2 linked regions of the Caenorhabditis elegans genome follow. The protein of the gene in region 1 purifies or fractionates together with the protein of each later gene. This does not show direct contact. Each region holds a gene or a part of one and is shown on either strand. Other genes may lie near its edges.

Region 1 (11,757 bases):
TTTAATTTTTAGCCCAAAATTTGTAGAAAGTTCCAATAAAAACACCTGCAGGGACACATTTTCTGCCATTTTTGCGCTAAAAACAGTCCAATGCCAGAAAATGTGTCCCCACAGGGGTTTTTATTAGAATTTTGACAATTTTGGTTAAAAATCCCAATAAAAAACCCCTGCAGGGACTCATTTTCAACCATTGAGGCTTTTTTTTTCATTTTTAGACCAAAGTTGTCGAAAATTTCTATAAAAACCCCCTGTGGGGACACATTTTCCAGCAATTTTTGTGCTAAAAATTAAAAAAAAAACGGTTCAATGGCAGAAAATATGTCCCCGCAGGGGGTTTTATTGAAATTTTAACAATTTCGGTACAAAATTCCAATAAAACCCCCTGCGGGGACACATTTTCAGCCTCTGAACCGTTTTTTTTTAAATTTTTAGCCCAAAAATGTCATAAATTTCGGCAAAAAACCCCTACGGGGGCACATTTTCTGCGAATTTTTGTGTAAAAAATGTGTCCCCGCCGGGGGTTTTTATTGGAATTTTTAACCAAATTTTCAAAATTTTCAATAAAAAACCCCTGCGGGGACACGCAGCATTCTTATCAAAAAGTGATCAATCATCATTGTGCTGTGTGCTAATCATTTATTTTTTCCAATTTTTTCAGCGAATTCAGCGCCACTGTTAAGAAATTTGGTAATGGAGGAGACACCGAAGACGCCGGAGCAAGAAAAAGAGCAAAATGTCAAGGAGAAGCCGGCGGAGAGCACAGAAACACCAGCTGCTGGCACAGAGCCAAGTACAGATGATGGAGCAATTGAAACTACTACCACTACTACTACTACTGAAAATAAGGAAAAGCCGGAAGAAAAAATGGAAGAATAAATGGTCGCCCGGGAAATTTAAATTCACCAACAAAAATCTTTAATTTATTACTTTTTTACCCTATTTTTTAATTTTCCGCCTCTGAAAAACACCACCTTTTTACCCGTAAAATGGGCGGAGCCTAACAGACCACGCCCACAAAATGGGCGGGGCTTTATGTATTTTTTTAAACGCAAAATATCTCATTATATTTCGAAAAAAAATTAAATTTCGCAGAAAAAAATTCCCCAAAAAATTGAAAAAAAAATGGTTAGGCCACGCCCACAAAATGGACGAGGCTTTATTTTGATCTCAAAATTATTCTGAAAAAATTCAAAAAAAAAATCCGCGATTGTCTATTTTGTGGGCGTGGCTTCTTAGCTTTTTCGCTTTTTTTAAATTTAAAAAAAAATAAAACCGAAAAAGTTAAGCTCCGCCCATTTCTGGCCATTTTTCGAAAAAAAAATTGTGTTTTTTTTCGAATTTCCCTCTTCCAATATCCTCTTTTCACCAATTTTCACACAGAATCTCTCGATTTTTGTTATGTATTTTATTCATTTCCTCCTATATTTTTTATTTATTCATTTATTGTTCTTATCAAATTATCAACAATACACATTCATATATATATATATATATATATATATATATATGTATTTTAAAAAATTGTCGAAAAATCGGGAAAATTTTTAAATTTTTGAAGAGAAAAACAAAAAAAAACAATTTTTCCGAAAAAGTGAAATGTTCGAAAAAATGGGCGGGGCTTGGTAGACCACGCCCACAAAATGGCTGACCATTTTATGGCCGTGGCCTATTGAGTCCCGCCCACGTTTTGCATTGAAATTTCAAAAAAAAAATTTTTTTTCGTTAATTTTTGTTTAAAAAACTAGAAAAAAATCAACAAAAAACTAATTTTAAAAAATTAGATTTCGTAGAAAACAAATTCCCAAAAATTTGAAAAACAGAAAGCCACGAAATGGGCTGAGCTTAATTTTTATCTAAATATGTTTTAAAAAATCCCAAAAATCGCAGATTTCAGGCTTCTGCCTCTTTCCTAAAACCCCCATCTTGCCTCATACACGCGTTTTCGGTGTTCAAAAAATGTTCAAAAAATGTCCGAAAAAATGTAATACAATTTTGAACGTTTATATCTCGGCTCTCACGGAACCGATTTTTGAAATTCTTTTTTCTCTACATTCACAAAATATAGCGACGTGTGTTCATCTAAAAGGGGGTTGATTTGGGAGCATCCTGTCGGCTCCACAAGCGGAAAACCACACCCCTCTTGTTTTTGCGCACACCGAAGTACTGGTCGAAAACCACTTTAAATTGAAGGAAAATTCGAGTTTATGTTCAAAACGTTTGAGACTCGAAACTTAAGTTCTCCTTTTCAATACCTATCCACTGTATCTAAGTTCATTGTGATATCTCTATTCTTTATTTTAAAAACGATAATTAAAGTTTTGCCAAAATTTCTGCACCTCCCCCCTTTTCTCACACACACACACCCACCTCCCCTTTTCATATTTGGTGTGTTTTCACCATTGTTTCGGTCAAATCTCCGTTAGTCTTGCTCACTTCTTTCAAACAATTTACATTTTTCCATAAAATTCACAAACTTTCCACTATCGTTCCGGTTTTTACGTTAAATTTAGAATTTATAGAATGATTTAAAATGAAATCTCAAATCACAGCTCGATCCGATCACTTTTCGCGGAGATAGGGTATTTAATTTTTGCACATGGAAATCCAGTTTTCCTCTGTTCCTGGACAAGTTTTCAACTATCCTTTCGATTTTATGTTTTAATTTTGATAATTTTCATTGAAGCAAGGTAGAAAAACTAAATTTGGTCGGTCTTGACAACTTTCAGCACATTTGTGGAAGTTTCGAGCTTCCAGGCCTTCCCAGAAGGTGATATGTTTCAATTTTTGTTATTTTTTAAAATAATAACCGCCGTATTATTCCACTTTTTACGCCAATTTCAAATATTATTTTATTTTTTTCAAATTTCCACTATGAGCAAAGTTATGACGGATTGAAGTCTTAGTGCATAACTCCTCACCAACTCTAAGAAGAAGTTCACTTTGAACATATACTTCAGGCATTGCAGGCCGGAGGCCTGCTGTGCGATTACAACTGTTTCAAGCCCAGATTGGCTGGATTGAGTGCCGCAGGCACTCTTACTCTTAGAAGACGCAGTCAACCTTAAATCATTATACCAAGGCAGGCCGGAGGCCTGATATGCGATTACTCTTAGATAAGTTTGATTTAGAAAGCTTTTATTATTTTCAGTTTTCTAAAACAATCCCCATTCCCGAGGGGCTGCGGGGCCCACAGGCGTTCACGATTTTCCTAAAAGTAGATATGTTATTCACTCAAGCCTAATAACCAGGTTTGAGGGCCGCAGGCCCGAATACTCTTGAAAACTGTGGGCTGGCTTTAATCCTATTCTAAGCAGAGCAGGCTGTAGGCCTGCGACGCGGTTGTTATTTACTCAAACCTAACAACCAGGTTCGAGGGCCGCAGGCCCGAACACTCTTGGAAACTATGGGCTGGCTTTGATCCTATTCTAAGCAGATATGTTATTCAATCAAGCCTAATAACCAGGTTTGAGGGCCGCAGGCCCGAATACTCTTTAAACTATGGGCTGGCTTTGATCCTATTCTAAGCAGATATGTTATTCACTCAAGCCTAATAACCAGGTTTGAGGGCCGCAGGCCCGAATACTCTTGAAAACTGGGCTGGCTTTAATCCTATTCCAAGCAGAGCAGGCCGTATTCATGAGTTTTCCTTTTCATTCACCGTTTTTTGTAGTTCACAGTGATGATTGAAAACACGCTTATTTTATTGAATACATTCAAATTATTCTTGAACAAAATCTAAGCCTAAGTTATTCGTACAGTGTCGGTCCTGGAGCAATGAATCAAAGTTTAAAGAGATTTCACTTTACACAGTAAGAGCTTCGAGGCGAAACCTCAAACCTGAATAGTCAAGTTTTCTAAACATATACCCCACTCCTGAAATAATTTCAAAGAGATCTCGAATAACCCGTTAACAGGTTCGAGGCGAAGCCGAGAACCTGCGCCAGCTACCTTGCTAATAACTTAGAGCGAATAAACCCTATCCCCATTCCCGAAGGGCTGGCGGGCCCATAGGCCCGCTAGTCCCTCATAAATTGAAATGGAAGAGTTTGCCGAACTAGGCCATTTTGGCTCGGCCATATCTGGGGTAGATTTACGGAGCGTTGCGTGTTGCGTCGCGGCTCGGTTTTAGTTGTAAAACTGAATGTATTTGTCCGTGTGGACTACACACGACACTTTTCCACGCGTTGTCCGGCAGGCGATTGCCAATGGAGCGCGAAAAATGCATTGAGGAAGGCCAGAACCCCGTGTATTTTTCATTGAATTTAAATAATTATAGAAACTATTTTTTTAATGAAACAATGAAGAAAAATATTTCGAAAACTCACAAAAAACTTTTGAGTTTTTTTTCTGAAAATAGCACAAAATCGACAGATTTTTATCGATTTTTTTTTGATATTTCCGCCTATATTAATTAATTTATTTATTGATCTTATCATCAAATTATCAACAATACACATTCATAATTATGATGAACGTACTAAAAATAGAGTTTCTCTCACTCATGTGCTCGCTCGGCCATCACTTATGTCCAAAAAACTGATAAAAAGTAGAGTGTTGAAAGTGAAAATGAGCCTCCCTATTGTGTCACACACAGAGCACAAAACGGGGAACTCGTCGCCTTTGTCTTTGACACACTGGGACACTCCACCCATTCTGTCCCCACAGGGGGTACTTCTGTACTATAAAACGACGCTTTGGGTTTCATAATAAGGCAGCAGCGCCTCTGTTATCATTCGCCACCACCACCACCAAAAACTAACATCGCCGAGAAAATGATCTACCGACTATTATTCCTCTATTTCTCGGTGGTTCATGCCGAGCTCGAGATGGTTCAGGTGCTTGTTAGGTGAGATTTTCAAAAAAAAAAGTACTATAGTTAAAGGCGCATAGGCGTTTGTTAGGCCCGTAGCAAAAATATTTTTTAAACCGAATTATCTCAAATTTTTGAAATTTCTAGTCAAAAATTTGAGAATCAACCCTAAATTGGTTGAAACAGTACCAAATTCAATAAAAATTCGATTTTGTCTTGAAAACTGGTGTAATTGAAGGCGCACCGGCGAAAAATCGATTAAAAATACTGTATTCAAAGGTGCATAGGCTTTTGTGTCTCGTAGCGATTATTTTTTTAAATGTTTAATTGAAATTTCGAAAAATCCGGCAAATATTGATTTTTTTCTTATGCAACGTTTGAAAAATTAAATTAAATTTAAAATTTACTGCATAAATATACTGTACGTTTGGGTCCCGTAGCGAAAAATATTTTCTTCCGAATTTTTTCAAATTTTTGAAATTTCTAGTCAAAATTTTGAGAATCAGATCTAGACTCTTGGCTCAAAGAGTATCAAATTCATTAAAACTGTGAATTTTTTTTTGAATGCTACTGTATTTAAAGGCGCATAATTAAGGCCCTTTTTAGTTGCTAGGTCTCGTAGCGAAATGAGTTTTTTTCGGGATATGCCAGCTTTTAAGAAAAATTATTTACAAAACGATAACAAAGATTCCTGACTTCCCTCATAAATTGAAATGGAAGAGTTTGCCGAACTAGGCCATTTTGGCTCGGCCATATCTGGGGTAGATTTACGGCGCGTTGCGTGCCGCGTCGCGGCTCGATTTTAGTTGTAAAACTGAATGTATTTGTCCGTGTGGATAACACGACTTTCCCACGCGTTGTCCGGCAGTCGATTGTCAATGGAGCGCGAAAAATTCGATGAGGAAGGCCAGAACCCCGTGCGCGATAACCGATAGAAAAACTGATTTTTTTGTATTTCTGTTGGAATAGTGGGTTTCTATATTATCCCGAATAACTTTTTTGTGAAAATATTTAGGAAAAAGACCCTGAAAAACCCAGATTTTCGAAGAAAACTGAGATTTTTATCGCTCCTAATGTTTTCCCGGATATAAAAAAATCATTTTCAACCGGAAACTCGAGCAATCTTAGCGTTTTGTGGGAAGGTCTCTGGCGTGAATCATTGTAATTACTTCCTCACGTGACGTATTGTTAAAAATATTGATAACTAATCACCTTATCAATTCAATAGTCACATCATTCAATGGTCATGTTTCATAACCAATTCGGCATTCCAGACACGGAGACCGAGCCCCATCATTCACATACCCTCTTGATGAGTTCAACGTCGCCGAGCATTTTCCACGTGGCTACTCTCAACTGACACAGCGTGGATTCCGACAGGCAAAGGAAGTCGGAGTGTTTCTAAGAAATCAATATAAGGATTTGATTGATGGATTTGATCGAAAAGAGACACTTATTCGATCAAGTGACAAGGATCGGTGCATTGAGACGGCGATGGGAATTACTCAGACACTGTTTCCAGATGATATTGTCCCAGTTCACACGTATTCACATTATAAACATGATTTGGTTAGTTTTTTTGCTGAATTTTGAAGATTTCTCACTCTAAAAGCAGTTTTTGAACAAAAATTACATGAAAATTGCTAGAAAATGCAGAATTTCAGTTTAAAATCGATTAAAACTCAAAAAACATGCAAATTCAATGCTAATGTTGTTTGAAAGTGGAAAGGTGCAGAATTTCAACAAAAATTGATTAAAAGAATCTGTTAGCTTAAAATTCAATGTTTTACAGCTTACGGCCTAAATTTCGGCCCTTATTTAGATTTTTAGTCTGGTTTTTGAGAGTTTTGACAACCTTTTGACAGTTTGAGATCAATTTCAAAAGGGGTTTCCCACGTGGTGCCAGTTACGGTTTGATCTACAAAAAATGCGGGGGAGTTCTTTTCCCAAAAAATGTGACGTCAGCACGTTCTTAACCATGCGAAATCAGTTGAGAACTCTGTGGATCTTCCTGCCACATTTTTTTGTAGATCTACGTAGATCAATCCAAAATGAGACACTCTGACACCACGTGGTTTCCACGAATAAATCAGTAAACTAACAGTAAACTTTTAAAACAAAAATATTCCTTAAATGTCAATGCTCTTTTTCAAATAATTTTAGAATAGTAGTTTTAACAAATTTCAACAAATCACAAATGTTCCAAAGCTTTTCCGCCGATTTTTTTTCCAAAAAAAACTATCAGAAATTCGCTGCTACCTTTAATTTTAAAAACCGAATGCGATTAAATTGATTTTCAAAAAAAAAAAAATCTAAAAGAAAAACTCTTCAAAAATACCCATTTCCCATTCAATCAACTTCATTTCCAGCTCCTCAAACCAAACAGTGTCCGATGCCGACGAGTCGACGAACTTGTAAACGCCGACAAATCCTGGCTCTCCGCTCAAGTCGATATTGAGCACAGGGACCTCTTCTCTCTTTTATCTCAAAAAACCGGCTGGCATGTGACGGGCTCAAAGATCTCCGACGTTTTTAACGTTCTCTATCGGAAACATGCAAATGGAGTTGCACAACCAGATTGGGTCAATCATGTTCTTGCAAATGTCACAGAGCTTAAGCGTCAGTACAGAAGTATTCAATTCAATTCTGATGAGAAGTCCAAAATGCGAACGGGATACCTTTTGGGGCAGATTACAAAAGACATGGTGCATCGAGAAGAAACGGGCCGGAAGATGATTGTGTACGCCACACATGATGCTACCGTAACCTCCATGATGTACAGCTTGGGAGTGTCCGATCATCAATTGATTCCGTATACAGCTGCTTTGATTGTGGAATTGCATAGACTAAATGGAAAATCTTTTGTTAAGGTTAGTCTTCAACTGGAAGTAGTGAAATCTACTGTGGGCTTAGGCTTAGGCTTAAGTTCAGACTTAGGCTTAGGCTTTGGCTTAGGCTTAGGATTAGGCTCTGGACTTAGCCACATGATTGGCTGTGGCTCAGGCCAAGGCTTAGGCATAGGCTTAGGCTTAATCTTAGGCACAGGCTTAGGCTTAGGCTTAAAATTAGGCTTTGGACTTAGCCACATGATTGGCTTTGGCTCAGGCCAAGGCTTAGGCTTAGGCTTAGGCTTAGGCTTAGGCTTGGACGTAGGCTTAAGCTTAGTCTTATGCTTAGGTTTAGGCTTTGTCTCATTCTTAGGCTTATTTTCAGACTAAATTAGGCTTTCCATTCTGAAAAAAAAAAACCAATTTTAATTTCAGATTCTCAACCGCAGCTCTCCGGAATCTGCTCCCCGCGAGCTTCGTCTTCCTGGATGCGATGTGCTTTGCCCAATGGAAACCTACCAGGAATTTGTTTCAACACGAATTATTTCCAACAAAGAGGAGCATGACGTCATCTGTCAGAACTTTGAAGCTCCAGAAATCGAACTTCCATCACAAGAACTTCCCAAGAACCTTCCCGAAGAAGATCACCTCTTCTCAACACTTATCACTGTCGGATCTCTTTCCTACGATCTCTATGCTAATTTGAAAGCGAAAAATTGAAAACAATAATTTCTCTGAATTAAAAAAGTATTTACAAAAAAAAACGAGTGCATAATGAATAAAATTTTACAATTGACTTTTAAAAAAATGTATATACATGGAAAATTGAGGCCGACGATTGAAAATAAAGAAAATTATCTGAATTTCTGAAAAAACAAACAATTTCGGGGGAAAGTGGCCGAGTTTTCTCAATTTCTAGGCCACCAATCAAATACCGACATGATCATCGTGGTGCAACGAAAAATGCCAAAGTGGCCGAGGTTTCGCATTTTCTAGGCCACCAAACAAAAATTGTTCGAGTCAACATGGCGCATCGAAGAATGAGCAAAATGTTTAAATGAGTGGCCTAGCTTTCGCAATTTCTAGGCCACCAAACAAAAACTGACATGATCAACATGGTGCAACATGGTGCAACGAAGTATGTCGACATGGCCGAGTTTTCTCATTTTCTCGGCCACCAACCGAAAATTGCCACCCTAGAATCTAAAAACTAACAAAAAAGTGAAGAAACAAGAAGCTCCCTCCGTCATCATTTATTTGCCAACTTTCTCCCAAAGAGTCGCCAGTGGTCGCCACACATATACACAAAGAAATCTTTTTCAAACACTAAGACACTGTCTCTCTCTGTGATTTGCACTGTTTCTTCTCTCCGTCCGCAACTACCTCTCAAGAGCCGCGGAGCAAGCAACAACCAGCTCCTGGAGAAGGCTTCTGTCTTTTTTACTGTGGAGCCGAAGAAGAGCACTTTTGTTTTATTAATTATTCAAAATTTTTAAGTTTTAGTTGGTTTTGCCTACATCCGAAAAAATGTTCGGATGTATCGCACCACCCCGACAGTCCAGAAGCATCATCCGATCATGCTCACAGGTAATTTTTTTTGGAAATTTCTATTTTTTTCATCGTTAAAATAAGATTTTTAGCGTAGGCACAAGGTACCTGCCTATTTGCCTACTTACCTGCCTTGAGCATACACCTACTGGAACTTTTTATTTGATTTCGGTGTTAAATGGCAATTTTTGGCGTAGGGACAGGGACAAGGTACTTGCCTACTTACCTATTTACCTGCCTATTGAGGCAGGCATGAGGTAGGTTTGCGGTAGGTACATAGGCAACATAGGCACGAGCTAGGCACATTTTCCATGTTTTTCTTTCATTTTTGATGTAGGCGCACATTTTCCTGCCTACCTACATATACCTATTACCGCAACTATTAGATTTCACGGTGTTTTTCTGAAATAAACATTTAAAGTTCGCATGCCTACCCCTGCCTGGGTCTGCCTGGTGCCTATACGCCTAAAATTGCCACATACATATAATCATTGTTCAAGTCAAAATTCCGATAACATACGGTTGGCAGGTAGATAGAAGGTAGGCAGAAGGTAGGCAGAATGTAGGCAGGTAGGTAGCAGGTAGGTACGAAATAGGCATTTGTGTCGCCAATTTTCATGCAAAAAAGCAATTTTTCAGGATTCCCGTGAGTTCCATGGCGATCCGCGATTCCAGCGTCCAGCCTCAGTGGACCTTCGACAACCACGACACCCACTCACGACACGAGGTAAGCAGGCAGAAAATAGGCGGCCTACCTGCCTGCCTCTACGCCTACCACTTATTTCGAAAGTCGATGCACCATGATTTATTGATGTTGGCTTAGGCTTAGGCATACATAGGTTCGGGTTCAGGTTTAGCCATAGGCTTAGGCTTAGGCCTAGGTTTAGGCCTAGGTTTAGGTTAAGGCTTTGGCTTAGGCTTAGGCTCAATCTAGGCTTAGTCTCAGGCTTAGGCCCAGGCTCCGGCATAGAATTGTATTATTGATTTTTTCTTGATTTTTCTATGATTCCTAAAATAATTCAATATTTTCAGGAAGATCAGCGACACCTCCAGCGACTCTTCACGGCCACCCATCCCAAAATAACAAGCCGCCGAAAATGAAGCGACTAGACAAGTGGATTGGCAATTTACTTAGTGAACGTGAGTGGAGGGTGTGTGAGATCAAAAGTCAGCTGGAACGGAAATGAAATTTGTTTAGTTTACTCTTGTCACTTTTTTTTTGAGTTATAGTGATTTTATTTTGGCTTGGAAAATTCTGGAAATTTTTTGAGAAGAAATTTTTACCTAAAAATTTAAATTCTCTTTTTCGCACTAAAGTTACAAATATTTTCAAAAATTAAAAGTTTTCAAAATTGAAATTTCCAGCAAATTGCCAATTTGCCGAACTTGCCAAAAAATTTTTGGCAAATTGTGGTTTTGCAAATTTTTTTTTTACAAACTTCGGAATTTCAATTTTAATCAGCAAAATTGTACGCATCCTATGAATATCTGGCAAACGGCAAACCGGCAAACGCCAAAAATGAAAATTTCCGGGCAAATCGGCAAACCAGCAAACTGCCGGAATTGAAAATTTCCAGCAATTCGGCAAAACGGCAAACTCCCGAAAATTAAAGTTTCCGGCAAATGGCAAATCGGCAAATTGCCAAAAATCAAAATTTCCGGCAAATCGGAAAACCAGCAATTTTTTTCCGAAAATGAGAATTGCCGGCAAATCGGCAAATCGGCAAATTGCCGAAAATCAAAATTTCCGGGCAAATTCGGCAAACCGGCAAATTGTCGAAATTTCAAATTTCCGGCAATTCGGCAAACGGCAAATTGGCGAAAATTAAAATTCCCGGCAAATCGGCAAGTTACCGGAACTGATAATTTCCAGGCAAATCGGCAATTTTTGCCCATCTTTGATACTAGCCCTCAACAAAGTTAATACTCTCAAAAATCTGCAAAAAACGAACTTCTAAAAGCCTAGAATTTAAAGTTGGTACAAAAAAATGTAATTTTTTTTCTAAAAACCGACCAGAATTTCATGTTACATCTGAATTTTACACCGAAAAAATTTGAAAATCATAGCAAAAGTACAAGAACCTTTCCCCGATCACTTTTTAATTCGTAAATCTTGTTCACTCGTCCTATTAGCTAGTACTCTCTATCCGTTGAGGGACCATCGAGATATTTTTGTGTAACATTTCCATTTCTCTCTCATCTCTATCAATTGTGTCCTCTAACCTCTCGGCTCTTCCCCGTCAAATTCGAATACAATTACACCGTGCGTTTTGCACATTTCTACGTCGATATTGGAGATCTCCTGCAATTCGTGCTGCTTCTTCTTCTTGAGGACGCTCTCTCCTTTACGACATACATATATTTTATGTTTTATTGTTTTATGAACCAAATTACCTAAATTGTTCTGAAACAAATTTTGATTTTAGTCGTCTAAATTTTCTCCAAAACAAAAAATTTGAATTTTCCGCCAAAACTTTCCAAAATTTTTTTGAATTTCTAAATTTTTTTCCTGAAAGTCTTGAAATTTCCGCCTAAACTTTTAAAACTAAAATTTGAATTTTCCATCAAATT
Region 2 (13,275 bases), on another chromosome or scaffold:
CAAATTTTCCGCTGATTCCGAATCTCGATGTGAAAAAAATCAAAAATTCAAAAAAATCTGATAGATTTGGATTCTAGATTTTTTAAAAATATTATAGATGAGTTTTTGGGACAGGAAAGTAAATTTAAGCCGCGCTAGAGAGGTTTTTGTGTCGAGTTCCAATTTTCACAGGTATATGTAGGCGCAAAAAAACAAAAATAAAAATTATGGAATTCCGGAAGAATTGAAGTAAATTTAAGCCGCGCTAGAGAGGTTTTTGTGTCGAGTTCCAATTTTCACAGGTATATGTAGGCGCAAAAAAACAAAAATAAAAATTATGGAATTCCGGAAGAATTGAAGTAAATTTAAGCCGCGCTAGAGAGGTTTTTGTGTCGAGTTCCAATTTTCACAGGTATATGTAGGCGCAAAAAAACAAAAATAAAAATTATGGAATTCCAGAAGAATTGAACTCATCCCACCCCTCCCACTCCCACTCCCCAGTCGAAGCAGTTACCGACTGATCCAGGGAGGATGAGGGAAGCCTAGCTCCTCGGTGTGTGTGACTTTTCCGACCTAGATTTACAAATTAAAATCAAAACGGTTCACGGAAAAAAGTAATGACTGTTGAAAAACTGCTTATTTTATTGCATTTGTTCAATTTATTAAATTTTCCAATTTCCCGGTTGCCAAAAAATCAATAAAATTCAATTTTCAGAAAACCAATAAAATTATATTTCTCATCAAAATTCAAATTTCTATGACGTCGCCAGAATTAAATTTCTAGGTCACCGGTGACGTCTTCAGGCATAGTTTAAGTTTTCTAGGCCACCAGTGGCGTCATTTATTTCCCCAGGTATAATTTGAAACTTCTAGGCCACCGGTCACATCATTAATTTGTCTTCCACGGTCAAAATATTTCTCTTCCAGAACTAAAATAAGATTTCTAGTCCACCAATGACGTCATATCTTCTCCAAAAAAGCTATCAAGGTTTCCTAGACCATTAGTGACGTAATAAGTAGGCAATGATATTTCTAGGCCACGGCCCCCCCCCCCCCCCTCTGATCAAAAAACAAAGTTATGAGTCAACTTAACTTATTAGAATGCTGACTCACCCAGTCAACACCAATCTAATCTTTCCCTGTCTCCTCCCTACCACTGCCTGCGCCTCTCCGTCTCGCGCGCTCTCTCTCCCACTCCGCTCACCGCCTGCGTCTCCGTTTCTCTCCCGGTCATTCCTCATTCACTCAATCTTGCAAAATTTCGGTTGTAACGAATTTCGAGTTAGATTTTTTCTAAAAATAATCAAAAATTCCGTCGAAAAATCAACTTGCGGCGATGCTCAACGTGGAGCCCTCATTTGCAGAGGAGCTGCGGAGCAGCGGGGTTTCTCTGTCGGCTACTGTGAGTTTTTTATTAGTTTTTTCCCCGAAAATATAAAATTGTCTTTCAGTACCTCGGAAGTGTTCCAGTAGTCGAGTCAATTAACGTGATGGTTTCCGAGATGAGAGTTCAAGTTGTTTCGTTAGTTTTTCTTATGGCTTAAAATCAAAAAAAAATCTTATTCAAAAATTTAGAAATCAGGCGGTAGGCAGGCATGAAGGCAGGTAACATCTGCAAGCTCAAATATATAAAAAATCTACGTAATAAAGTAACTGTTCAATTTTCAGAGAATGTATACAACACGTTGCAGCTACTGTTGGCGTGACTGCGGCTCGAGAAATCAATCCAGTTGTTAGTAGGGTGAGTTTTTTTTTGTGAATTAAAAAAACAAAAGAAAATAAAATAAAAAACTTGCCATTTTCTGGGCATGGCTAATGGTAAAAATTTACAAAACATTTTCTCATTAATTTGATATTAAGTGTTACCAAAAATGCATGACCAGCTTTGCAAAATGTTTAAAAAAAAGGACCCGTGAAATGTCGGCCGCGCTACGATATCATCAAGAATTATTTCAAATTAACAAGCTGTCCAAATTAATGACTAAAAAATTATAGCAACCGACATCTCACAGGTTATTAGAGAAAGGTTACATGGTGCATCGACTGGAAATATCTGACTCAACTTTGACTACTTATATCTCTGCTGGTTTTGGTTTTTTTTTGAAAAAGTGTCAATTGACAAAATATTTATCGTTTTTTCTACTACAACTTTGCATTTTAACACTTTTTGATAGCAGCGAAATAAACTGAGATAATTACATGGTGCATCGACATGCTCAAATTTTGATAGCTTATATATCCAGTAAAATTCAGCCAAAAGCCTGCCACTATAGAATGTACTAAAGCAACCGACATCTTACAGGTCGATCAAAAATCGCGCTAAATGATGTCAGCCGCTATTCATAGAAAAGTTATTATCACTAATTTCGACTAAAATTATTGCAGCCGACACTTCACGGGTCGATGAAAAAGCCCAGGTAAACCATCCTTATTTTCAGGTAATCGGTGAAGTGAAAAAAGAAAACTTCCCCGTAGACATCAACATTTCCTCGAAAATGATCAAAATCATAAAACAAAGTCGTCTAATTCAACGTCATCCCTTCTCATTCTTCTCATTCGGAGCCCAAGGCCAAAAGGGTACGGACACGGAGCTAATGTTCGGCTACATTGCAAAAAACAAGGATGGAACGGATCGTCGATGCCACGTGGTGTTCATCGAGGATGTGCACAAGCTCATCGACGTCCTTACCACTGCGATCAATGTGAACACTTTTGATGCACAGGCGAATGCTTCAACTTCTAACGATGGATTTACGGTGCCGGCGCCGCCGATGAGACATCGAAGTTCCCTGCATCGACAGTCATTTGTGTCGAATTGCCGAGCACCTACTGTAACTGAGGATGTTGTGGGGAAAGTTTGGTATCATGGAAATTTATCCAGAGAGGATGCACAGGCTTTGTTGAAGACGGAAGGCGATTTTTTGGTTCGGTAAGGTTTTTTAGATTTTTTATAGAAAAAAGCTAGAATTTTGCTGAATTTCTAAAACGTTTGGCTTCATGCTCACTAGGTTCACACCAGGGGCGCGTGGGAATCGGAAATTTTCGGCAATTGCCAAAATTCCAACTGAATGCCGACATTTTCGGCAATTTTCAAACCTAATTATAATTCGAAAATTGAAAAAAAAGTTAACTGTGTTTTCAGTATTCGATTAGTCATTTTTAAAAGCAAACGGTCAATACTTAAAAAATTAAAAAATGTTTAGGCTCCTAAATCTACAAAAAAATATCAAATCTATATTTTCGGCAATTCGGGCAAAATTTGATTTTCGAAGAAAAAGGCTAATGTTTTAATAATTGGCAATTTTTTGGTAAAACCTGAGATAAGTAAAATATGAGCTATGATAGCTGATCAATGCATCATGTCTTCCATGTAACTTTTTCCAATCATATCTCGGTTTATATCGCTGCTAGCAAAAAGTGTTCATCTGCAAAGTTGTAGAAGAAAAAAGGATAAATATTTTGTCAATTAACAATTTTTCAATAAAACCACAACCAGCCGAGATATAACCTGCCAAAGTTTTGTGAGATATTTCTTGTCGATGCACCATGTTTCTCATGTAACTTTTTCCAATCATATCTCAGTTTATATCGCTGCTAGCAAAAAGTGTTGAACTGCAAAGTTGTAGTAGAAAAAAGGATAAACATTTTGTTAATTAACAATTTTTTAATAAAACCACAACCAGCCGAGATATAACCTGCCAAAGTTTTGTGAGATATTTCTTGTCGATGCACCATGTTTCTCATGTAACTTTTTCCGCTAATATCTCGGTTAATATCGCTGCTAGCAAAAAGTGTTCAACTGCAAACTTTTAGTAGAAAAAGTGATAAATATTTCGTCAATTGAAATTTTTTAAATAAAACCAAAACCAGCCGAGATATAAACTGCCAAAGTTGCGTGAGCCGGTCAATGCACCTTTCTTTAACAACCTGCGAGATGTCGGTCGCTATAATTTTTTACTAATAGTAAATCGGATAGCTTTTTAATATAAGCCTATTTTAACAGACTTCGTAGAAAAATCTGAAAGTCTAAAAAAATCAAATTTGACTGAAAAAATAGTATGAAAAATCCTTTTTTTATATATTTCTGACTTAAAGCTTCAGTCACATTTCATATCTGTAATTTGTTTGATAATATGTTCAGAAGCCACGGGACTTTAAATAATTCTTGAAAGACCAGGGAAAAATTTGGTATAATAAGTTCATCCTCCCAAAATTTTTTTAGATTTTTGTTTTAGGCTGAAATTTTTGTTCAAAAAAAATTCTGCGTTTTTTTTCCTGAAATACAAAAGATGCAAGGTTTGCATGATGCTAAGATTGTCTGAAGCAGCGGACACCTCACAGTCCCCCTTCTCTAAAAAAAGACCCGCAAGCTGTCGGCCGCTCAAACTTGTCCAGTTCCTTGCAGACAAAGCGACCACACGCCCGGCAAGTACGTGCTGAGTGGCCGAACCGCTGAAAACGAGCACAAACATCTCATCCTACTGGACAATCACAACGTAAGACCCTCCCCCCCCCCCCCCGCCAAACCTTCAAACCTCTCAAAATTCCAGAGAGTCCGAACCCGCGATCGCACGTTCAGCAACATCTCCGAGCTCATCGACTATCATGTGAACAATGGGATGGCCGTAAGATCAGAGGGTCGGGATCGCGAGACGTCGTTGAATCTGATCCGACCTGTGCCGTGCCCCGGAAGTGATGATATCGAATAGAGTCGGAATTTGTTTCCTATTTTTTTTTCGATTTCTAGCAGAAATTGAAAGTCGAGTAGCAAATTGCGTAAGACTTTTTCCTCTTCTCGTCGCCCCCCCCCCCTCTTTCATATAATTAGGTAGTTGTCCTTCTACCGTAACATGTCATTACTATCCTCTTTCTTTCCTTCTTTTTTTTGCGATTCTCCTCCTCGGCCACGCTCCAATTATACCCCCCACCCACCTGTATTCTTACGCCACCACCCCAACCAGCGCACACATCTTTTTGTATTCATTTTTCCATATATATTTGTATTATTACTACTATTACCCTCACTACTGTTATCGATTTTTCCCTCCACAAATTTATGATTCTGCACTGGATCATTTGGTCGGTGGTTGTGGTGCTGCCACCGCTGATTCGATCGGTGGCCATTGTGGACACTTCTATTGCGTGTGATAAGGTAGGGATGGCCTAGAAAAGTCACCTAGTCCAACACTCCCACCCCGTATCTATGTTTCTGCCATCTTGTGATATTTGCTCCATACCATATACCCTGCCCATTTCTGTCCTACTTTCATATCCTGAAAAAATGAAGTATTTGAGAATCGAGTTTTGAAAATATTAGTGGTGGCCTAGAAATTTTAGGCTTGGGTTTAGGCTTAGGCTTAGGCTTAGGCTTAGGTTCAAGCTTAGGCGTAGGCTTAGGATTGGGCTTAATCATGGGTTTAGGCTTAGGCTTAGGCTTTGGCTTAAGCCGAGACTTAGGTTTGGCGTCAGTGGCGAGCGTTAGCTTGCTACTGACGCTATTTAGGCTTAGGATTTTCCGGTTTTTTTTAGGCTTAGGCTTAGGCTTGAGCTTAGGCTTAGGCTTAGGCTTTGGTTTGGGCTTAGGCGTAGGCTTAGGCTGAACCTTAGGCTTAAGCTTAGACATTGGATTAGGCTCAGGCTTAGGCTTTTTGGAAGATGTGTGGAGCCAATAAAAAGTTGCATGGAAAAAATATGACGTCACAAATGACCTAAAATGTTTCATTGTTTTTGGCAAAAACACAATAGTTTAGAAATTTGGCTGCAAGAAGTTCCTCGGCCTAGAAACTCTCTTAAACTCTCGAAAAAGCGAATTTGAAGGGCATTTAATGGAAGATTAAAAACCCAGGCCAAAACCTTGAAGGTCACCACCCAAAAGGAAAAAAACGTCTTCAATATTGCAGACAGATTTCCTATTGAAAATCAAGTTTGACGAAAACTTCCGTGGCACGATACAAAGTCGCGCGGGCCATCCAAAGTGTATCTATGCAAATGGCACGCTTCAATCGGACACCAAATATCAGTTGAAGGTTTGCCTATTGAATGTATTGAATTTTTGGGCATTATTTGCTTAGATTCCGCTGACTGGCTGCTCGACCAAGGAGAACGGAGAAGGCAATTTGGAGAATGAGATCGAAGTTGTCATGGCTAACAATGAGTGGGTTTTTTTTTGCCATGTGGTACTAGGTTTTTTGCCGCTATGCTCACAAGGAAAGTATTTCCGCTCAGTTTTAAAGGTGGAGTAGCGCCAGTGGGGAAATTATGAAAAACCATTCATTTGGTCCCAAAGTGACCGAATATCATAATAAAACTTTTTTTTTTTGTAAATGTTTTATTTACTGTCAAAAAGTGGCAATTACTCAGGTAGTTTTGGATCATAATAAGTGTATTTAGACAAAATCCCCCACTGGCGCTACTCAAAATTTAAACTTGAAAATTAAATTTTTGAATTTTGAAAAAAGAGCTTTCAAATAGGTACCTACAAAAAATTCAGCGACATACGAGCACTTTAAACTAGAAAAATCTCGCTCTGAAGTTGCTGCCAGTGAATTTTTACTACCAAATTTGGAGGCTAGTTTAGAGATTTTTGAAAAATTTCATGATTTTTAGGCTATTTCAATATATACAAGTATTCTGAAAGCAGTTTGGAAATTTTCTGATTTCTCCTAATTTCTAATTTTTCTAATTTCTCAAATTTCTCCTAAAATCTGCAACTTTTTTCACCCAACAATTTTCATCGATCAGGATATTTTTTGGAATTTTTTTTTCAAAAAAAAAAAAACATTTTGCAAAAAGATTCCAGAATATTTGCCAACCTCGAAATACCCTAAAAATCATGGGGTTCTGGCGCGCCATGGCCTTCCTCATTGAGATTCTCGCGCTCCATTGGCAATCGCCCGTCGGGCAACGCGTGGGAAAGTCGTGTACTCCACACGGCCAACTACATTTAGTTTTACAACTAAAATCGAGCCGCGACGCGACACGCAACGCGCCGTAAATCTACCCCAGATATGGCCGAGCCAAAATGGCCTAGTTTGGCAACCTCTTCCATTTCAATTTATGAGGGAGGCCAAAAATCTGTGATTTCAGATCGATTTTTTTCTAATGTAGAATGATGATCATATTATGGTATTACCGGTACAGAGAGTGTAGATAGTTAGAGAGTGACAGACATCCGGGACCCAATGGGGCGGGGCGCGCGGAAGAGACGATTTGTGTCGATTTACGAAATTTTCCTCGTTGTCATCATTTCGTAAATCGACACGAATCGTCTCTTCCGCGCGCCCCGCCCCATTGGGTCCCGGATGTCAGTCACTCTCTAACTATCTACACTCTCTGTACCAGTAATATTTGTTATTGAAACTAATTTTTTTAGGAGCATTTTTTTTATTCCATGGTACCTAAAAAACCATATACGAACAAAAATAGACAAAAATAAAAAATAACTTCCTCATCGTTTTTTTTTAAGATTCAATGCAGAAACCGACAAACGATTCCTTCTGACCTGTATACCTGCTGCCCCTGTTCCTAAAGAATCTCAGGTGACCGTATCATTTGGTGGAATCACTATCAACTCGGATGCCACCACAGCAAGCAGCCTATCGGATAATAAGGTAAGGCTTCAAAATTATCGCTGCGAGACCCATATAATGTTTCAGACAGTCGACTACCGAGTTCGTGTTCTAGACGGCGACAGTTTGGATTCAAAGCAGCTACAACGTCCGTTAGCAGTTGGTGATAGAGTTGTAAGTCAGGAACTCCATAAATCAAAAGAAACTATTTGTAAATTGTAGACGTACACAGTTGAAATGAGCGATGATCAGAATGGACGAATCGGAAGGTGTTGGGCGAATGACGGGATATCCGAGCTACCACTGTCGGACTCACACGGATGCTCTTTGCAGACTTCTGGGGAGGTACGGTTTCATTAAAAAAAACATAGTGCATCGACATTTAAAACTGCCGAAAACTGGGTCCTGCCACCAGTTTTTCAAAAAAAAAAACTAACATTTTGCTCAAAATCATCATGGTGCATCGAAGAAACTTACAAAATTGGGTCGGTCAAACTTTTGGGGCTCTGCTTCGATAGTGAGTGGAGTACCAAAATTTGATACTTTGCCTTTTTAGACCCAAAATGGTCCAAAAACTACCAAATTTCGTATTAAGACGTTCTGAAAATTTTTCAAAAAAAAAAGTTATTATGACCTCTCAAAGTTTTGGAAAAATGGTCGATTTTTAGCTAAAATCTCAAATTTTGGCACCTTTTTAGTGTCGGAGCGGTTGGAACATATTTTTATGCATGTTTTTGCAATTTATCACGTGTTGTTTCTAAAATTAAGCTCCAGCTGTGACATTGAAAAGTTGCCAAAATTTGAGATTTTAGCTAAAAATCGACCATTTTTCCAAAACTTTGAACGGCCATAACTTTTTTTTTTGAAAATTTTTCAGAACAGGTTAATACGAATATTGGTAGTCTTGGACCGTTTTGGATCTAAAAAGACAGAGTATCAAATTTCGGTTCTCCACCTTTAAGCATGGCCAGGTGCTTTTCTAAAAATCGTGTAGCCCATAACTAATGCATCATTCGGGATATATTATTGAAAGAAAAAGTCCTGCACAAAATTTCGCGCTGAACACTCATTTTGATACATTTGGAAAAATCGATAATTTTCATTGATATTAAATACCCATTATGATTTTTTTTTTAATTTTAAAGGTGGAGTAGCGCCAGTGGGGAAATTACTACAAACCACTCAAATGGTGCCAGAATAATCGAATATCATAATAAAACTTTTCAAAATGTTTTTGAAAATTTTTTATTTACTGTCAAATTGGCAATTACTCAGTTTTTGCCACTCATAATTTTAAAAGTCGACCAAAAAAAAATTTTTTTCTACATTGTATAAAAACATTGTGTGGGTCGAAACACGCGACATTGCTTTGGATTTCCTCAAAAGCTCATATTTTTTTTCAATATTTTGGCAATTTGCCAAAACTTTGACCGGAAATTTTGAAAAATCTTAAATATTTTGGAGTGTTTCATTAAGATATTCGATCGTTTTGGATCATAATAAGTGTATTTAGACAAAATCCCCACTGGCGCTACTCCACCTTTATTTTTATGCCACTTATGCTAAGTGCGGTTTAAGTTCTACTAATATAAATCTTCATGGTGCATCGAGAAAAAAATGATACATTTTTAAAACTCTCTCCTTTCCAGGATGCACCATGTTTGACGTGAAATTCATCATGGTGTATCGACAAAAAAAAAAACAAAATGCTTCAATTTCTTATTTTATACACACCTGATCAATTTTCATTCCTGTGCATTTTACAAAATTTCACGCTGAAAATGTATGGTGCATTGATAAAAATTGAGAATTTAATAGGAACCTAATGAAATTGAATTTTTTACAAATCTATTGTTTTGCTAAACTTTCCCAAAACATCGGAAGGGTTCTTTTTTTTTTTTTCTAAATTTTCTCTTTTTTTCTCTTCATCATGGTGCATCGAGAAAGTATCAAAATCTGAGACTTTACTTTTTTAGATCAAAAATGACCCAAAACTACCGAATTTCTAAATGAGACGTTTTGAAAAATTCTCAAAAAAGAGTTATGGCCGCTCAAAGTTTTGGAAAAAAAGTCCCATTTTCAGCTAAAATCAAAATTTTCGCCAATTTTTTTCTCGGTCGGGAACTCAATTTTTATTTATAACTATAATATCACTCTTTTATAAATATTGTGGCCCTTTATAAGCCGTTTATTCGTCGATTAAAGTGCATTTTCGGGCAGTGGGGCACAAAAAAAATTACATTTTTATTCCTCCCCCAGCCCCCAAAACATTAGATTTTAGCTGAAAATATGCTATTTTCCAGAACTTTGAACCGCCATAACTTTGTTTTGAAAAATTTTCAAAACGTCTTACTAAACAATTCGGTAGTTTTGGGTCATTTTTGGTCTAAAAAAGTAAAGTCTCAAATTTCTTTACTCCTCCTATAACATTTTTTCTCGATGCACCATGATGATATTAGAGAACATTGGAAAACTAAAAAGATGTTTAGGGAAAGTCTAGCAAAACATCTTTAAATTTCAAAAGAAAATTATTTAGCGTCGATGCACCATGTTTGGCACAAAATTCATCATGGTGCATCGACCAACTGCATATTATTTGAGACTTCCATAGAAAATTGTTCCAGGTGTGGGGAGACTTTGAAGTGACTCGACGCAATGGTAAGACCATCTTCTACAACCACATAAAGGCCTGGGCATTCCCAACGAGGTAAGCCTCTTAAGTTCTTTGTTCATGTTCACCACCCACCTCTCAACGACTATTATTCCAGCAACGAGGTGAACATCTTCTGTAACCTTCACGTCTGTGTCACGTGTACCCAGGCCGCGTGTCGTGGACGGGAACGTCGACATAATCCTCCTCCTCAGCATTCTTCAACCGTCTCTGATCCCTTCTCGTCGACAATCGACGTGTCCGACATCTCGCCACCGATCGCCGTGCGAACATCGTTCCGTCTGAAACGGGAAGCTGTCGCACGGCTAGAGACATCACAAACAACGTCTTCCGTTTCAACAGATTCTTCAACTAATTCGTCTTCTTCTTCTTCTTCTGCCAATCTCTCCTTCCTCTTCTTCCTCCTAATCGTTGCTTCAGGTGTCTTCGACTATTAATAAATTGTTTGAGAAAATAATTGGTTGGCATGTACATATATGTATACACTTCGATGCGCTCCCCCAACTTACAAGTTAATGGCAAATTTGTAGAAAGTTGAACATTTGCAAGTTTTACACCAACTTCAAGGGGGTTACTGTAGTTTTTGCATACTGTAGTGTACTGTAAGATTTCATAGTGTTATGCCAACTGTATTGCGGCGGTACTGTATTGGGGTACTGTAGGATTACGGTAGACATTTGCAAGTTTTACACCAACTTCAAGGGGGTTACTGTAGTTTCTGTATACTGTAGTGTATTGTAAGATTTTCATAGTGTTACGGTAATAGTATTGTGGCGGTACTGTAGGATTACGGTAGTGGTACGATACGCTGATATTACTGGAAAGATTCTGTTGAAGTGGTACTGTAGTGCTACTGTAGAAGTACTGTAGGTTTAAAGGATCACCACTATGGTGATGCAAGGGTACTGTAGCATGCACAGAAGTACTGGAGGATTACTGTAGTGATACGGTAGGCTAATATTACTGTTAGGACGTGATAGTACTTTGGAGGGTGAGAACAATTTCTGAAAAAATACAAAAAAAAATAAAAAACTGTTTGATTTGCTGAAAAAGGCTGAAATTCTACATGAATCTACGAAAATTTGTGCCAACTGTTTGAGTTTTTTAAAGCTATTCGAAATTTCAAATTGAATTTGCAGACTTCTGAAAATTGAGAAAATTACAAAAAGACTACTATAGAATCACGAAAATTTCTGAAAATCTGAGCAGAAGCCAAAAACACTCTACAATTTCTGAACTTAACAAAAAAAAATCAGAAAAAAGAGTTGAACATTTGCAAGTTTTACACTAACTTCAAGGGGGTTACTGTAGTTTTTGTATACTGTAGTCTATTGTAAGATTTCCATAGTGTTACGGTAATTGTATTGCGACGGTACTGTATAGGGTACTGTAGGATTACTGTAGTGGTACAATGTGTTGGCATTACTGGAAGGATCATTGATGTAGTGGTACTGTAGAAAGTACTGTATTTAAAGGAGGGCCACAATAGTGATGCAAGAGCACTGCAGAACAATTTTTGAAAAAATAATCATAAACTGTTTGATTTGCTGAAAAAGGCTAAACTCAGGGATCGGAAATTTCCGGCAATCGACAATTTCGGCAATTGCCGGTTTTCGAAATTTCCGGGAGTCGGCAATTTCGGCAGTGGCCGGTTTTCGAAATTTCCGGGAGTCGGCAATTTCGGCAGTGGCCGGTTTTCAAAATTTCCGGCAATCGGCAATTTTGGCAATTGCCGGTTTTCGAAATTTCCGGGAGTCGGCAACTTCGGCAATTGCCGGTTTTCGAAATTTCCGGCAAAGGGCAGTTTCGGCAATTGCCGGTTTTCAAAATTTCCGGCAAGCGGCAATTTCGGCAATTGCCGGTTTTCGAAATTTCCGGCAATGGGCAATTTCGGCAATTGCCGGTTTTCAAAATTTCCGGCAATCGGCAATTTCGGCAATTGCCGGTTTTCGAAATTTCCGGCAAGCGGCAATTTCGGCAATTGCCGGTTTTCGAAATTTCCGGCAATCGGCAATTTCGGCAATTGCCGGTTTTCAAAATTTCCGGGAGTCGGCAACTTCGGCAATTGCCGGTTTTCAAAATTTCCGGGAGTCGGCAATTTCGGCAATTGCCGGTTTTCAAAATTTCCGGGAGTCGGCAACTTCGGCAATTGCCGGTTTTCGAAATTTCCGGCAATGGGCAATTTCGGCAATTGCCGGTTTTCGAAATTTCCGGCAAAGGGCAATTTCGGCAATTGCCGGTTTTCGAAATTTCCGGGAGTCGGCAACTTCGGCAATTGCTTCATTCGAAACTTCAAAATTAATTGGCAATTTTTTGAAAATTGAGAAAATTACAAAAATATTATTGTAGAATCACGAAAATTTCTGTAAATATTTGAAAAATCCTGAAAATCTGGGCAGAAGCCAAAAAATAAAAAAAAATTCCCAAAATACTTTTTCCTAGTCACAATTGAAAAAAGTCACCTGCCTAACCTAACTGATTCTTGCTCTCTGCTGCCTCTTTGTCTCCACACAGAGCACATTCATTATCAGTACACCCTGAAAACCGACGTTTACGACGTGAACATGTGAACCACTTTTGGCTAATTAACAATTTTATTACATGTACAAAAACATGGAAATGAAAGAAGTATGCCCTGTATTAGAAGTGCATGATACCCCTCTCCTCCTATAGACCGCGCGCGCGCGGGCTCACAACAAAATCCGTGCTCGCAGAAAGAGAGACGTTTCTTGATTTATTCGTTTCGCGCGCCGGCTCATCCCCCGCCTTGCACACACACACACACACACAGATATGATTGATGCTATCGAACCATCGTCCCCCGCCGGGAATTCCCAGGCTTGTTTTTTGGGCAAGTGGATTTTGGAGGCAAAACTATGATACCCTGAACTTCAAAGCTTAAAAATTTCAATTAAATGTACTGAAAGTGAAAATTTACAGTAATAAATTTGATTTATGCTTCTATCCCGGAGAATCAAGATTTGATTTTTAAATATGTACATAAATAATTTTTTTACATATCCAGCAATTTCCAGCGGTGATGCATCATGTTCTTAA

What was found.
Region 2: the proteins of pho-9 (region 1) and cutl-20 fractionate together in Caenorhabditis elegans (co-fractionation; one large-scale study listed by BioGRID). This does not show direct contact.

The regions. Positions count from the first base shown.
Region 1 is NC_003281.10:2,753,769-2,765,525, reverse strand, and holds pho-9 (intestinal acid PHOsphatase), read left to right. Parts: upstream 1-4,709; 5' UTR 4,710-4,772; coding exon 4,773-4,846; intron 4,847-4,887; exon of another isoform or gene 4,888-4,908; intron 4,909-6,084; coding exon 6,085-6,379; intron 6,380-7,179; coding exon 7,180-7,680; intron 7,681-8,073; coding exon 8,074-8,358; 3' UTR 8,359-8,442; downstream 8,443-11,757. Other genes in the region: swsn-3 (HMG box domain-containing protein), read left to right, coding at 659-876.
Region 2 is NC_003279.8:961,093-974,367, reverse strand, and holds cutl-20 (ZP domain-containing protein), read left to right. Parts: upstream 1-4,910; 5' UTR 4,911-5,035; coding exon 5,036-5,131; exon of another isoform or gene 5,132-5,280; intron 5,281-5,879; coding exon 5,880-6,005; exon of another isoform or gene 6,006-6,050; coding exon 6,051-6,133; intron 6,134-7,444; coding exon 7,445-7,589; intron 7,590-7,634; coding exon 7,635-7,721; intron 7,722-7,769; coding exon 7,770-7,892; intron 7,893-10,171; coding exon 10,172-10,254; intron 10,255-10,315; coding exon 10,316-10,655; 3' UTR 10,656-10,675; downstream 10,676-13,275. Other genes in the region: shc-1 (SHC-transforming protein homolog 1), read left to right, coding at 1,316-1,381, 1,431-1,501, 1,648-1,720, 2,418-2,908, 4,385-4,475, 4,530-4,688.